2 linked regions of the Canis lupus familiaris genome follow. The protein of the gene in region 1 interacts with the protein of each later gene in a pairwise test. Links are inferred from orthologs where the notes say so. Each region holds a gene or a part of one and is shown in the gene's direction. Other genes may lie near its edges.

Evidence for each region.
Region 2: the proteins of CCDC102B (region 1) and SPG21 interact in binary tests that used the Homo sapiens proteins (3 or more experiments, as listed by UniProt). The two-hybrid records come from large-scale screens. The link is inferred for Canis lupus familiaris from reciprocal best matches to the Homo sapiens genes CCDC102B and SPG21.

What each region holds. Positions count from the first base shown.
Region 1 is NC_049222.1:9,360,334-9,368,979, reverse strand, and holds the start of CCDC102B (coiled-coil domain-containing protein 102B), read left to right. Parts: upstream 1-2,940; 5' UTR 2,941-2,948; coding exon 2,949-3,016; intron 3,017-8,646. UniProt on the Homo sapiens protein: During interphase, forms fibers at the proximal ends of centrioles to maintain centrosome cohesion. During mitosis, dissociates from the centrosome following phosphorylation to allow centrosome separation. Contributes to CROCC/rootletin filament formation.
Region 2 is NC_049251.1:29,777,460-29,784,022, reverse strand, and holds the end of SPG21 (maspardin), read left to right. Parts: intron 1-1,679; coding exon 1,680-1,820; intron 1,821-3,225; coding exon 3,226-3,342; 3' UTR 3,343-3,948; downstream 3,949-6,563. UniProt on the Homo sapiens protein: May play a role as a negative regulatory factor in CD4-dependent T-cell activation.

The sequences.
Region 1 (8,646 bases):
CTCAAACTTGGAACTAATATTGATTTCTTTATAGAAGTTACCTGGGCAGTATGGAGGAGATAGGGACATAGAATGAAATAATAAAAATCCTGTACATGATAAAAAAGAAATGGATCTTTATATGGGAAGTAATAGTAGAACTGAAGGGAAAAAAAGATCTATGGAAACCATTGGGAAATACTTGTTCATGTTTTCCACAAAGATAAATTATAAACTGAATATTGAGTGGTTAAGTCTATTAAATAGAAATATAATGAAGATATTATTTAAAAATAGAAACAAGTAACATATGCAATTGAAATACACAATGATAATTCTTAATATTCTCATTTATATCAACACTAGTTTTTTATTTTTTGAAATCATGCAAATACACTTTTGCTAATAGCTTTGTGGAATAGGGTACTGTTACAACTTTTGACTGAATGCCTTGTTTTTAGTCATTTTTGTTGAATATCCTTGCATATACATTAAACATTTCTGAATTCTGACTTTTATGCACATTTTTAAATAAGCATTAGATGAAAAAGCAATCTTAAAATGCTAGAAATACAGTATCTGTGTAATTTTCCTGTGATTTTGTAGTATTGACTTAAGGGATCAATAAATCTATATGAATGACATTTAGAAAAATGCTATATGTGGATTGCTTTTTTGGAAAACTTTAAAAATTTAGTTTTCTTGTAAAATGACAGATGATATAATTTTGCATTCTTCATGTTTTTATTGGGTTCAGTAATTGCATGATCACTAGCATATAAGCTTCCTGGTGCCTTGATACAGTTGTGGTCTTGAAATTTATGAGGTTTTCCTCTAATTATTAGAGCCACAAATATAATGATGATAATTCTTTAAAATTAAAAATGATATAAGGACAGCTTCTATTTGAAGAAGTACCATTTCTCCTGGGCTGATACTGCAAGGTTAATTGAATTTTTCTATAATGGTAAAACCTTCAAAAATCTTCTTCTTAGCAAGATTTTAAAGAAGCCTTGAAAGAAAAGTCCTGCTTCCCGAGCTGAGTCTTAAAAATCAGTGGAATGTAGATAGTTGTTGAAAAACAAAAAGACCGTTCTACTTTGTAGTAGTAGTTGGAGCAAAGAGTTTTGAGGCATGAGCTATGAGGCTATGAACCTCATTGGAGAAGAAGAAAAACTCACCATTGTGAGTAGCAGACATTGGGCTCAAGAGTGAGACAAAGTTGTGAAACACAGAGCACTGTATACTCTGAATATACAGAGTAATTTTGACCCTATATATTGTACAGTGAGGGTGATTGCAAATTTCTGAAGAGATGGGGAGTATTTATTCTTCTTTGCTTTGTCATCTCCATCATCATCATCATCATCATCATCATCATCATCATCATCACACTACCAGCAAATAATAGCATTTCCTATGTGTAAGGTAATTTACATACGTATCTACAACTTTGATAGTTGCTTAATAGAATGAAATTCATATCACATATCTTCATTTTACACGAGGAAATTTGATGTTCCGAAATGTAAATGATTTCTCTAAAGCCACAGATATAGTACGTTCTGGAGCTAGGTTTCCAAATAATGTCTTTCTGGCTCCAAAGCTTTTCCACTCTGCTCCACTGGTATTTTAGGAATGTGAGTCTGGCAGAAGTTGAGCAGAATGGTTTGGGATGGCGTTGGGGTAATAGCGTGCAGGGAAGAGACAGTGAGACGACATCCGTAAATCCAAGCTAATCACAATTCTCTCAGGTGGTCCACTCTTACTTTAGGGAATAGACAGAAGAAATTGATACTGAAAATAAGCAGTTTTTATACTTAAATTGGCGATTCTCATATTCAACACTTAGGCTTTCCTCTCTTTTATTTTCTTGAACATTGTATTCAAAGAAGATGTCTTTTGATTTCTCAGAGGAAGTTTAATCACTGATTTTCATCAAATATCACATATTCATAAGAGAAACGCATGTGGTTATTGGAAATGATATTGGGAACACACTGGCGTTCTTTTGTTTGTTTATGATGAGTGATATGAATGGAAAGACCCCATGATTATCATGTAAGTTTTATTTGAATGGGTGAAGAGCATATATAAAATTTATGTTGCTAATAGACAATGCAGAGTACAGTACATCAGTAGTAAAAAGAATAAGCCCCATTTAACATTTTTCCTCGTATATCTAAACTTTAAATATATTTAACTTTTCTCTAAATAGAATATTTTATAAATATATATTATAACTATATATATATAATAGTGTCTGTGCTCTCATTTTAGAAATGTACGATCTACTGTTTTAGAAGTTTATTGTCATTTAAATAGGCTTTACTGGAGTAATGCCTTTTTGCCATATGCCCAAACAGCTGAAGATAGTTGTAATGTAAAGATTCATTCCTTTAAATATATCATTAAGAAAACAATAAGTATACTTGTCAGCTCAAATACTTTCATCACTGACCTTAGGTTAGGACATTTCATTTTAATTAAACAGATCTAGGCTGTTTTCCAAGATTCTATTTTATAGAGAGTCTTTTACATGTTCAATACCTGGTCCTCAGTGTTTGGTCCTCAATGCCCTGATCAACTGTTGATGCACAATTGTTATCAAGTATTATAAAATAGAAAACTGGTTATCTTATAGGAGGAAAGCAGCCTATCAAAGAGAAGATGGGTTGTGCTCAATACCATTCTATTAAGGTCATAGCTTTGCAGATTACTAATATTTTTATATATTTAAATACCTGAGTGACTTGCATATGATGATATTTACTATGAGTTGCTGTTATATGTAGAAAAGATAAAAGAATATTTGCTGTTAAAAACTGATAGAAGGACTTTTTTTGGTAGCTGAATACAGAAGTACCCTTTTGAATAAAAAACATATTCATTGCAGAGCTTTTAAATGGTATCCTATAATCCTTGTCTTTAATTTGTAGAATTAAAGCCCTCTTCCCCCCAAAAAATAGATGTGCTGGAGTACTACCATATCAGAGGCAGACCCACCAGAGCAGAATGAAGAGCACCATTCAGAGAGGTAGGAGGAGACCCATGAAAGAGGAGTCTTTCAGAAGCTAAGTAAATGAGTCATTGCTGAAAGATGAAATGGCCAAGTTATATAAAATGCTACTGAGTGGTCAAGGAAAATAGGAGTTAACTGTTAATTAGATTTTGCAATACAGAAGTTATTGATTTTCTGTTTTTGCAGAGATCTAGGCTTAAAAACTGGTAGAGTGAGTTCAAGAGAGAGTGAGATGAGTGAAAATATCTTCTAATGGTTTTTACTATAAAAAATATCAGAGAAATGTGATGGTCCCTGGATGGAGATCAAGATGATTTTTGTTTTTCAGGTTGAAGATATTATAGCATGTCCCCTTTGCCGATAAGAATGACTTAGGAGGGAGATTTAATTTTATTAGAAAGGAGAGAGAGAACTCTATTTGTAGGAGTTAAGTCTTTAAGTCAGCTAGTGGGGATTCAGATGGAACCTGCAAATGGAAAGTTTGACTTTAGGGGCAAGGATGATGTAGAAAGAGGCTGAGATCAGGGTTACCACAAGGCTGATAAGTGTGGTAGAGCCAGAGAATGGTAGTTGTCTTTTGATAACTTTTTTTTTTTTTAAAGTGAAACAGAGGGAAAAAAAGAATAACTTCATCAAGAAAGATGGAAGAGTTAAGGAAGAAGATGGGTGGAGTTTTGGAGAATGGGAAAGTGAAATGATAAGGGAAATGGAGTAGGGTTGGCTGTGCAGTGCTAAGGGCTGATGTGATATTCAGAATCAAGAATTGAAGTGAGACCTGAAAGTAAACCATGTTTTCTCTAAGTATTAGCAGATGCTCAGGTAGGTGCCTATGTGGAACAGGCAGATAGTTGAATGCCAACCAGAATTGGAGTTTTCTAGGCAATAAGGTTAAGAGAATGCCAATCTAGCTGAGCATAAATTGTTAATTAATGGGGCTTGGAAAAGGGAAGGAGTATCAATATGAAGTAGGTAATAAATGGTTAAAAGATAATGGGATCAGTTAATAGGAGGTCCAAGTTAGGTCAAAGAAGAGAATTTTGTGGACCACAGAAGGTAATCAAAAGGGTGCTTAACATGGAAATGGAAGAAATGCTGTATGGTAATAGTATCTAGGGTATATACCAGCCAGTGGGTGCATGAGGTAGAACTATTGGAATTGATAGGAACGGAAAGATGAGAATATTGTAAGGATACTGCATGTGAAAATATTTTGGACATGAAATTAAGTTTAGTTCCATTACAACCAATTAGTACCACCCTTGGTTTTACTAGATACATTTTATTTCTTATTAGTAAATGTCTTTGAATTTACTTAAATGGGAAAACAGTCCTGTTATAAAAATACATGGAAAAACATGGTGTTTTATATGTGGATTATATTATGGTAAGAAGATAAATATCCACAAGTGGACACTAATTTTAGTACCCATTCCCATGCTGAGACTAATTTTGTTCATAATTTCCTCCACTTACCTTCTTATTTTTTTAATGCATCCATCGCCTCATATAGTTACCTATTTATTTATTTTTTTTAACTTTTTAAAAAATTTTATTTATTTATGATAGTGAGAGAGAGAGAGAGAGAGAGAGGCAGAGACATAGGCAGAGGGAGAAGCAGGCTCCATGCACCGGGAGCCCGACGTGGGATTCGATTCCGGGTCTCCAGGATCGCGCCCTGGGCCAAAGGCAGGTGCCAAACTGCTGCACCACCCAGGGATCCCCTATAGTTACCTATTTAAAAATGTTTAACTGAAGTGTAGTTGACATATAATATTAAACTAGTTTCAGGTATACAACGTAGTGATTCAGCGATTCTATACCTAATGAAATGCTCACCAGGATAAGTGTATTATGATATTATTGACTGTATCCCCTCTGCTGTCCTCTATTTTTAATGATGTTTTGCTTGGTCTTACAGACTGTATTAGAGAAGGATCTTCAGGGAACAATAAGATATAGACATAGAATTTTTCACATCTAACGAATTGTAAGCCCATAATTTTTCTCGATGTTCATTATATTGCCAAAGTTTTGGATAAAGATTAAATTATATTTGCAAATGATGGTCAGAAACCATGAACTACCTTTATTTTAATATTTAATTTTTTTTTTCTAAAAGCCAGGCTGTCTAAATAGCTTAAAATAAATGGGATTTCTTTTAAACTTCTCAGATGAGAACGTGGAACAGTCATATCCAGTGTTTTGAATCATGGCCATTTTATTTTGATGTGACTATTGTAGCATCTCCTCTTCTACATTATGTGACCATGTGGCAGAGAATGAAAATGTTCTGTTCATTTATATTTGAATGATAGCTATGATGCTGATGTGTATTTACATTATCAATAGAATGCATTTTCAAACATATATTTGAAAATAATATTATTAGCAATCATCTTAGTTTGATGCATAAGTGAGAAGCCTCTGTAAGACAGAGATAGAAATTTTGTGAGAACACACTGAACATAAGTTTGAAAATTCAAAACAAAGTTTTCTATTTCTGGAAAATTCTCTATGAAAAAGAAAAATCCTTAAATTTTTGGGTTGCTCTAGAGTAGAGCTATGCAACAGAAGTAGTGTTCAAGCAACCTTTACAATCTGAAGTTACATTTAAAAAATAAATGTGGGGCACCTCAGTGGTTTAGCACCACCTTCAGCCCAGGGCCATGCTGGAGACCCGGGATCGAGTCCCATGTCAGGCTCCCTGAATAGAGCCTGCTTTCCCTCTGTGTCTCTGCCTCTCTCTCTCTCTCTCTCTCTGTCTCTTATGAATAAATAAAATGTTTAAAAATAAATAAAATAAAAATTTAAAAATGTGACATAGATTTTAATAACATATTGTACTTAACCCAATATCTTTAAAATATTACCATTCTAAAATGTAACCAATATAAAATTAATGAAATAGTCTACATTTTTATTTTCCACACTGTGCCTAATTTAGACTTAGAGTACATCTCAGTTCGGACTGCCTTCATTTCAGTGGTTTTCTAGCACCATCAGGCTTGTGACTATCCAGTTGGACAGCACAGACTATTATACTCCGGAATATAAATAATTACACAGTACTCTCTTAGCAGGTGTAGGTCATGTGTAGGGCATTACATTTATCTCCTTGTTGTAAATGGAGATAAGTGTTTGAGCGACCTTTCTAAGGAACAAATTTACCCCAGGTTTTCTGATTCTGAATCCAGTGCTCTCTGAGTGCCACTCTCCATTCTGATGGTGGTTATGTTGCTGTATTTATGTTATACTGATTCTGAGAAGTGTGTACAATATGGTGGCCTCTGGAAATAACTGGTACTAATATGTTCTACCCTTGCTGTAATTTAAAAAAATCTAATTGGCGTGAAAAGTAAGCAGTAATAAAAATGATCAACTCAGGACACTTGGGTGACTCAGTGGTTGAGTGTCTGCCTTTGGCTTAGGGCATGATCCCAGGGCATGAACGAGTCCCACATTGGGCTCCCTGCATGGAGCCTGCTTCTCCCTCTGCCTATGTTTCTGCATCTCTCTCTGTGTGTCTCTCATGAATAAATAAATAAGTAAAATCTTAAAAAAAAAAAAAAAAGATCAACCCAATTTTAGGATTCCACACATTTCTCAGTTTTTCTTTTCTTTTCTTTTTTTTAAATAAATTAAGTGAAAGAATCAAATCTGGTAGAACAGAGAGATAGAAAAAGTAAAAATAGAGGTTTGGAGGAAGATTTAAAACTGTGGCATTATAGGGATTATTTGAGAAAAAGTTGAAAGGAAATATTTATATGGCTGGGAGGGCAAATAAAAACATAGCAAGTTTTCAGAAATATAAGGGTTTAATCTGGTCTTCAGCTTTTTGCAGTTCTTTGCACATGTCTTACATTTTCTATTTTAGGGGCTGGAAAGCAAGATCTCTTGAGAATTGTAAACACTAGCTGTTGACTTCCTGTTGTTTTGACATTTTTAATCCAATTCCTGGTCTTTACCAGGGGATTAAAACACTATGCCTACAATACAAACAGATAAAAACTGATTTCAGATCAATTAGCAATTTGCTGGGAACTCTGCTTTTTAGTTAAATTGCTTTACTCTTTAGTGTTAACTTCTCTGATGCCAAAGGGCAAACCCCCAAAATATCAACACTTAAAAAGATGATAGATGATTGGAGACTCTTTCTAAACAGAGTACAAAGACATTTTGGCTAAATGGAAAATGTATGGACAGGAAAAAAGTTTCATTAGCATGTATAGTAACTAATCTTGAAATCAAAATCTAACATTACACTTTTTAATATTTCATGTCTTAAGATTATAAATTACATTTTCCCAGTGAAGTCAAGATTTTAGATCTCATTATTACAAGAGGTAACAAGTATTATACAACCACAAGCTTTGTATTTCTGGACAAAGTATTTTCCTCCAAATAATGTATCTGAAAGAGGATTACTTGTTTTATTACATTAAAATTGATAGAATTGGAACAAAATATATGATTTATATCAATTTACTCTTAGGAGAGTCCATAGAAATGTAATGAGGCTATAAATCTAATGCCAGTAACTAAGATAAAAAGTCTACATTTTCTCTAAAAATCAACATATCATCAACTGCTGTTCTGATAATTTTTGGTGATATATATGTATATATTACTATTTCTCTTTTTGTTACATGATATAAGAACATTCAGTTTTAAAAAATGTCATTGTTTCACCTTCACTTTTTTTAATATTATTTTATTTCAGTGTTTCTGAGTATTAGAATCTTCCTTACCAAGACAAAAGAATTGATTTAATATCTTCATAGTACTTTAAGGGAATGTAGTACTATAAGTGACTATGTTTTAACTATATATGAAATCAATTTTACATATCCCTTTTATATTTTTACCATTTATGTCACAAGAGATACAATGTACTTTCTGGAACTTATGTTTCTCCTATTCAGAGGTAGATAGCCTTGTGATTTCAAAGTAGATTAGTCATGTATTTTAATAGAAAACATAGTTATGAACCTTGGGTAGATCCATATTCACTAATAATTTTATTTTCTCAACTTCCTCTGCAATCACATTCATAAAGACTTATAATTCAAGGTCTAAACCTGACCTGCAGAAATTTGCAGTTTCAAGGACTTAAATGAGCTCCTGTGGTATTACGCTTTGAACACATTGCCATGGGTGGGTGGAAGGCAGCTGGTTTCCTGTTTAAAATATTTTTGAGAACTTTTAGAAAGTTCAGTTCATTCTCAGCTCACAGTTCCTTCATAAAAGAAGAGTTGAACGTTTATAAATATTTATATTTGTAAGATTAATCAGGAATATGTGATTAAACTCCAAAAATTGGGTTAGTTTGTTTGTGTTATAGTTTATGCAATTCTGTTATAGCCAGTTCTTCCAACATGTTCAAAATAATTTGTTTTGATTCTTATATAACAAAATTTTGGTTCCATTTTAAGATGTGAAAACATCGTGATAATTTGCTGCAAGTGAATCTTTGGAGGAAAAAAACCTAATATACGCTTGAATTTCTGTGAGTCAGATTTCACAAGTAATCACAATGTTAAGTTCCATGAGAACAGACATGTATTTATTTATGTATTTGTTTAAAGAGAGAGTGGTAGCAGAGAGAGGCAGAGGGAGGAGGAGAATCTTAAGCAGGCTCCACACTC
Region 2 (6,563 bases), on another chromosome or scaffold:
CTGGGTCCCCAGGATCAGGCCCTGGGCCGAAGGTGGCGCTAAACCACTGAACCACCTGGCTGCCCCTGTCCATTCACCTGTTGATGAGCATTTGGGTTTTTCCACCTTTTGGCTCTTGTGAATCATGCTGCTCTGAATGTTGGTATACACATACCTGTTTGAGTACCTACTTTCACTTCTTTTGGGTCTATACCTAGAGGTGAAATTGCTGAGCCATATTGGTGATTCTGTGTTTAACTTTTTGAGAAACCGTCATATCATCTTCTACAGAGACTGTACCATTTTATATTCCCACAACAGTGCACAAGGTTTCAAGTCATCCCATATCCTCCCCAACACTTGTTATTTCCTGTTTTTGTTTTTGTTTTTGTTTTATAATGGCCATTCTGATGGATGCAAAGTGGTATTTCATTGTGGTTTTGGCTTTTTTTTTTAATCATATAATTATTTTGCCTCATAAGTGGATGTATTGCTAAAATCAAATAATATTTTTAAGAATTGATTTTTCAGGAAATTACAAGCATGTAAATTATAACTTCTAATTCTCCACTGTAATCTCTACATTCAAAATTTACTATGACACAGAACAAGCTTTTCGGTACTCTTGGTAAAATACTTGGTCCTCATGGTACATTTGCTCTGCTTGCCCATCTTTCAAAGCTGAGCTCACCACTTGGGTATGTGGTCACTGAAAACTGTATGTAAGCTTTAGCAAGTTGGAGATACTTTTTGAGTGTGTGTGCTTCATTTTAAATATTATTTTTTGAAAACTTGTTTGCATGTGTTTAAACATAAGTTTAGGGGCACCTGGGTGGCTCAGTTGGTTGAGTGTCTGCCTTTGGCTCAGGTCATGATCTCAGGGTCCTGGGATCCTGATCCCCCTCTCCCCCTGCTCATGCTATCTCTCTCTCTGTGTCTCTCAAATAAATAAAATCTTTAAGAACAAACAAACAAAAAACAGGTAAGTTTATGTGGGCATTAGAAGATGTCTAGAATCATATACTCCAAACAGCTAACAATGGCTCCCCCAGGAAAGGATCTGGACTTTTTCTTATACTCTTAAAAAAAATTTTTTTTTGGAATTTTTTTTCTGATCATATAGTACTTATGTAACTGTTTTTAAGTAATAATAAAATTTAAAAGGTTTTGGGGGGATCCCTGGGTGGCTCAGCGGTTTAGCACCTGCCTTCAGCCCAGGGTGTAATCCTGGAAACCCAGGATCGAGTCCCACATCGGGCTCCATGCATGGAGCCTGCTTCTCTCACTGCCTGTGTCTCTGCCTCTCTCTCTCTCTCTCTCTCTCTGTGTGTGTCTCATGAATAAATAAATAAAATCTTTAAATAAAATAAAAAGTTTGGGGGATTTCAGTGATCTTTTTGAAATGAATTGGCATTCACTATTGTTCTTTTAATTTAGTTAGTTAGCTATGTTTAAGGGGAAAAAATTCATGATAAGAATTTTCCCCCCAATGAATGCAAGAGGTGTTTGACAACAAAATCTGTAGCTTATGTTGGAGTTAGAAGTTACCAGAGATGAGCAAGTTACCCAGGCTGGCCAGGGGTTCAGCGGTATCTCTTCACTAGAAAGCCAGAAAGAGATGCTTTGGAAGGCACTTTCCACAATGTACAAAAAACCTACTAAAACACTGGTAGGTTACAGCTTTGTGTTTTTTTTAAAAGGTATTTGACCAGAGTGCACTTTCAACTGAAGCTAAAGAAGAAATGTATAAACTGTATCCTAATGCCCGGAGGGCTCATCTTAAAACAGGGGGCAACTTCCCATACCTGTGCAGAAGTGCGGAGGTGAATCTTTATGTGCAGGTAAGTCCCAGCTTGGGAGCCGGAACACTTTGAACCCAAAGTGTATGGTTTGAAACATAAAGCTTTTTTTTTTTTTTTTTTTTTTTTGGATGGTGGAATAAGAGACTACAGAATTCTCTGTAGCAATGAGTCATTCACTTGATAAAGGTGGTTTACATTAATAATTTATAGCAGAAGCCAAGCGGGTATATTAGAAACAGTTGAGTGACTCTGCCTACCATCTCTTTTCTAAGAACAGCAGGCCTGCATCCACACATACTGAAGTGGCCATGCCACATGATGTGACCTTGCCTCCTGGATACAGTGAATTCAATCAGAACAGGAACCTTCATTGAAGCAACTTCCTGATCCATTTTTAACACGTTAAAAAAAACACACGCAGGAGTGCCTGGCTGGCTCAGTCGGAAGAGCATGAGACTCTTGATCTCAGGGAGTTGTGAGTTCAAGTCCCACATGGGGTGTAGAGATTACTTAAATATAACTTAACATATACACACGCACGCATGCACACAAACTAGCAAAAGCTGCCACTTCATCTTCTACCCAAATGGATATTAAAATAGCAGTGAGAGGGCAGCCCTAGTGGCTCAGTGGTTTAGTGCCGCCTTTGGTCCAGGGCGTGATCCCGGAGACCCAGGATCAAGTCCCACGTTAGGGTCCCTGCATGGAGCCTACTCCTCCCTCTGCCTATGTCTCTGCCTTTGTCTCTCTCTGTGTCTCTCATGAATAAATAAATAAAATCTTTAAGAAAAAATAAAATAGCAGTGAGAAATTATTGCTTTGGCAGTTCGGTAGGAAGTATCAAGAGCTTCAAAAACCAGTCACATCCTTAGGTCCTGCCATCTATTTGTGGCATGGATCCTAAGGAGAAGACCCTAAATTCAAAAAAACCTGATGCCAGGAGACATTGATCATGATCTCACACAGAACAGCAGAGGATCGGGGGAGGACCTGAGTCACAGCAGCAAAGCAGGAGGGTAAACACCCACTCACAGAGTGGTGTGCCACCCTCTGAGATGTTGATGAAGAGTTTATAGGAACTTGGAGAGACCTGTTATATATTAAATAGGGAACAAAGATCCCACATTGTGGTTTTTCAAAATACTTGACTTTTCTATGTTTTCCAGTTTTTCTCTAATTACATTATAATTTTAGAACTATAAACATTTATATGCTAGAGCACCTGGGTGGCTCCGTCGGTTGGGTGTCTGCCTTTGGCTCCGGTTGTGATCTCGGGATCCTGGGATCAAGCCCCATGTTGGGGCTCCCTGCTCAGGGGGTGTCTGCTTCCCCCTCTCCCTCTCATCTCTGCGCTCTCTCACTCTCTCAAATAAATAAATAAAACCTTTTTAAAACATTTATGTGTTACTGTGACATTTAAAATAATGATTCTGTGTTTCTACAGATCCATTTGCTACAATTCCATGGAACAAAATACGCGGCCATCGACCCGTCGATGGTCAGTGCTGAGGAACTAGAGGTGCAGAAAGGCAGCCTGAGCATCAGTCAGGAGGAGCAGTAGCTCTGTTGTCGCCTGTTGATGATGAGTGATCCAGAGAGTTCTTGTACAATCAGCTGCGTCAGCACCCGCCAGGCAGGCTCTGTTCAGTTGTCAGGCTCGCCAGTCATCACTGTGTTTGGAAGCAGGACTGATTGTCATCTTTGTGACAGGCGGCAGCTCTTCTAAGCCAGTGTGACTGTTCCCTCTGCATTTTTTTTTTTTTTTTTTAGCTTTTGAATTTGAGGAAGTACTTTTGAAGACTCTCACTTTAAGAATTGTGAAAATTTTGCTACCAAAAGTCTTCTCACCACTGTGTTCTTAAGAGAATGTTGATTTTTGAGGTTTGGGATTTTGTGGAGTTTTTTTCTTTTCTTTCCTCCTTTCTTTCTTTTTATGATATTTGCTGTAAATGCTGCACATCCAGATTGTGTATCAGAAGGACATCGGTTATTTTTATGCTTTCTTGGTTATAACCGTTATCAAGTGCCAAGGCTGTCTGTCACCCCACCGTTTGCTCTCCTACAAAATCAGCTACTTCTAATTTCCAGTTAAGCAGATCATTTTCAGTTTTATCTGTTGTCTTTCTAGCCATTACAGTCATTTGGAATAAAAATTCAATTTCAGTGAGTGGTTTTGGTGATTATTGTAGCTGCCCAACTGGACTGCATAGACATAGGACTTTCTGCAAAGCAGACCATGGGGTCATTGGCTAGTTCTTGGTGACATCAGGTAAGTGACTTACTCTCACCAAAGTGCAGTTTGCTCATTGTAAATTAACAGTAGCTCTCATTTATTGAGCTGTTAGTATGTGCCAAGTACTTTTCATACCTTCTTGTCTTCCCCTAGTGGGAATGTCTCTTAAATCTCTTTTAAACTGTAAATTATTGTTTTTGTCTTGCCATGAATTTGTTGAAGAAACAGGCTCATCTGCCCTGTAGAATTCCCCCACGGTCTCGATTTGGCTGATTGCAGCCTCACAGTGTCCTTTAACTTGTTTCTATGTCCCTGGTATTTCCCATGAACTGGTGGTTACATCTAGAGGGTCAGTTTCACATTCAGTCTTTTGGGCAGGAATACTTCATAGGCGAAGCTGTGTGTTTCCCATTATGTCACTGCAGGAGGCCCAGAACATCTGCTTGTCCCTAAGTTGTGAAGATTGCTCAGTAGATTCAGACGTTGTCAGCCAGATCCAGTCAGTCATTGGGGAATTCCACTGATGGTTTGCCTGCCACTGCTCATCACTGCACAGATGCACTATGTCATTAGAGGATGCAGAGCAGTAACAAGTAACTCTAATTTTTATTCTATTAACTAGAGTCCTCGGATTTAAGAATCTTCCCCTCATCAACTATTTGGTTTCACTGGGGTACAATTTAGACCAGAAAAATCAGCATCGATGCTTCTTTCCCTTTAAGTTTTCAGAACTTTGAGTTAACCATACTATTTCCAGTTTCATGCCCACCACAACCCTGGTTAGGCTGATATTACAGGTGAGATCATGGAAACAGGGACAAGAGATTTGTTCAGCATCACACAGGGAGGGGTGGAGCTGGCATGGCAACTTGGGCCTGACCATCCCTAAAACCAGTGATCTTTCCATGTAGGTTAGTGTGTGCTCTACCTTGTGACTTGAGAACAGTCTGGAGTTATGGAAACACCTGGTAAGCCATGAAGGTAGAGCTTTAATGTTTTTAACTCTTCGCATCTGAGGCTCCTTCCCAACCAATAGGGAACTCCTGTGGGCAGGGCCAGGCTGCACATGGTCAGCAGCCCCTTCCTTACCTGGTACAGTGGTGAACTGTGGGACTACCCTCTGCTTTCTTTTCAAATTCTCCCTGAGTGAGCCACTTCCTCCGACAGCTTCAACCACTCCCTGGCTCTAGGACCTGATGACTGCCATTGCCAAACCCAACTGATTCTGAGATGGCCTTGAATGCCTAATGGGCCCATCAGGCCAGCCTTCTACAGGCACACCCATGTCCCCACTGCCCAAACCTGCTCCTTCTCTCTTAGACCCGTCCTCCCCGTTCCCAGCACCACTGTGCCCCCAGATTCCCCAGCTAGAAACCCAGCCACCCCCATCTCCAGGTCTCAGGCTGAAGCAGATGCCAAGGTGAAACTTCGAGATGAGCCAGGTGGTTACTGAGGATCACAGGAAAGAGGTGTGGAAGTAAGCAGGGTTGGGCAGGGGAGAAGCTGAGCTGTGACAGGCTGACCAAGCACTGGTGGACCACGTAGGAGGCTCTGGAGCTACGAGTGTCCGTTGGAATCGTCTCATCAGGGGCTGAAATAGCCAGGCCCTCCTGCCCCTCCAGCTCATCTCTCCTCTTCCTCCCATGCTTCCTGTGTTCCAACCATACCATTCCGCAAGGAGATACAGCTCCGCACCGCTGTGCCATTGCACAGACTGTGCTTTTTGCTTGCAATGTGCTTTGCCCACTTCTGTCTTCTCTGAGAGCTTCTCAGACCTTCCTCCCCTTCCTCCTTCCCTTCCCCAAGGAAGAACAAATCCCACAGTTCTCCCTACACACACATAGCAACAACCACATGACAGCGCCTCACTGGGGTCCCAGCTCCTCCACCCCCCAACATCACAAACTTCCAGAGGGCAGGAACTGTGGCCACTCCACACTATAGTCTCAGCTCCCAGCAGACTGCCTGGCACGGAAGACAGTAAATATTGACTGGCAGTGGTGAGCCGAGTGGTATGGTTACACAATCAATCCACAACAGCTTGTCTGGCTTGAAATTTTGCCATACGTCTCCCAAACAAAAGGAATACGGAATGTGAAAGCTATATTTCAACATTTCAATTTTATTTAAGAACTTGTTTTTGTCTCAAAAAATACAAAATTCATTCCACAGAATTCATCCAAATAAATGGTCCTGTGTGATACAAAATACATTTCCTAAATGGAATAAATGCAAGAGAAGACTCTTCCCCCGCCCCCCTCAACAAAGCACATGCTGGAGCGCCTGGGTGGTTCAGTCAGTTGAGTGACTCTTGATCTCAGCCCAGGTCTTAATCTCAGGGCCATGAGTTCAAGCCCCACACTGGGTGTGGAGCCTACTTAAGAAAACAACAACAACAACAACAACCCAAAACCATAGCACATGCAGAGGAAGGACACGGAGGTTCGTGTGCCACCCCTGGGGGTCTGAATCTGGCTGTGAACTCTGAGGCCTCAGGCCTACAGGTTACTGCCTGTAAAATAGGTTGGTTCCAAAGCCTCTTTTTCTTT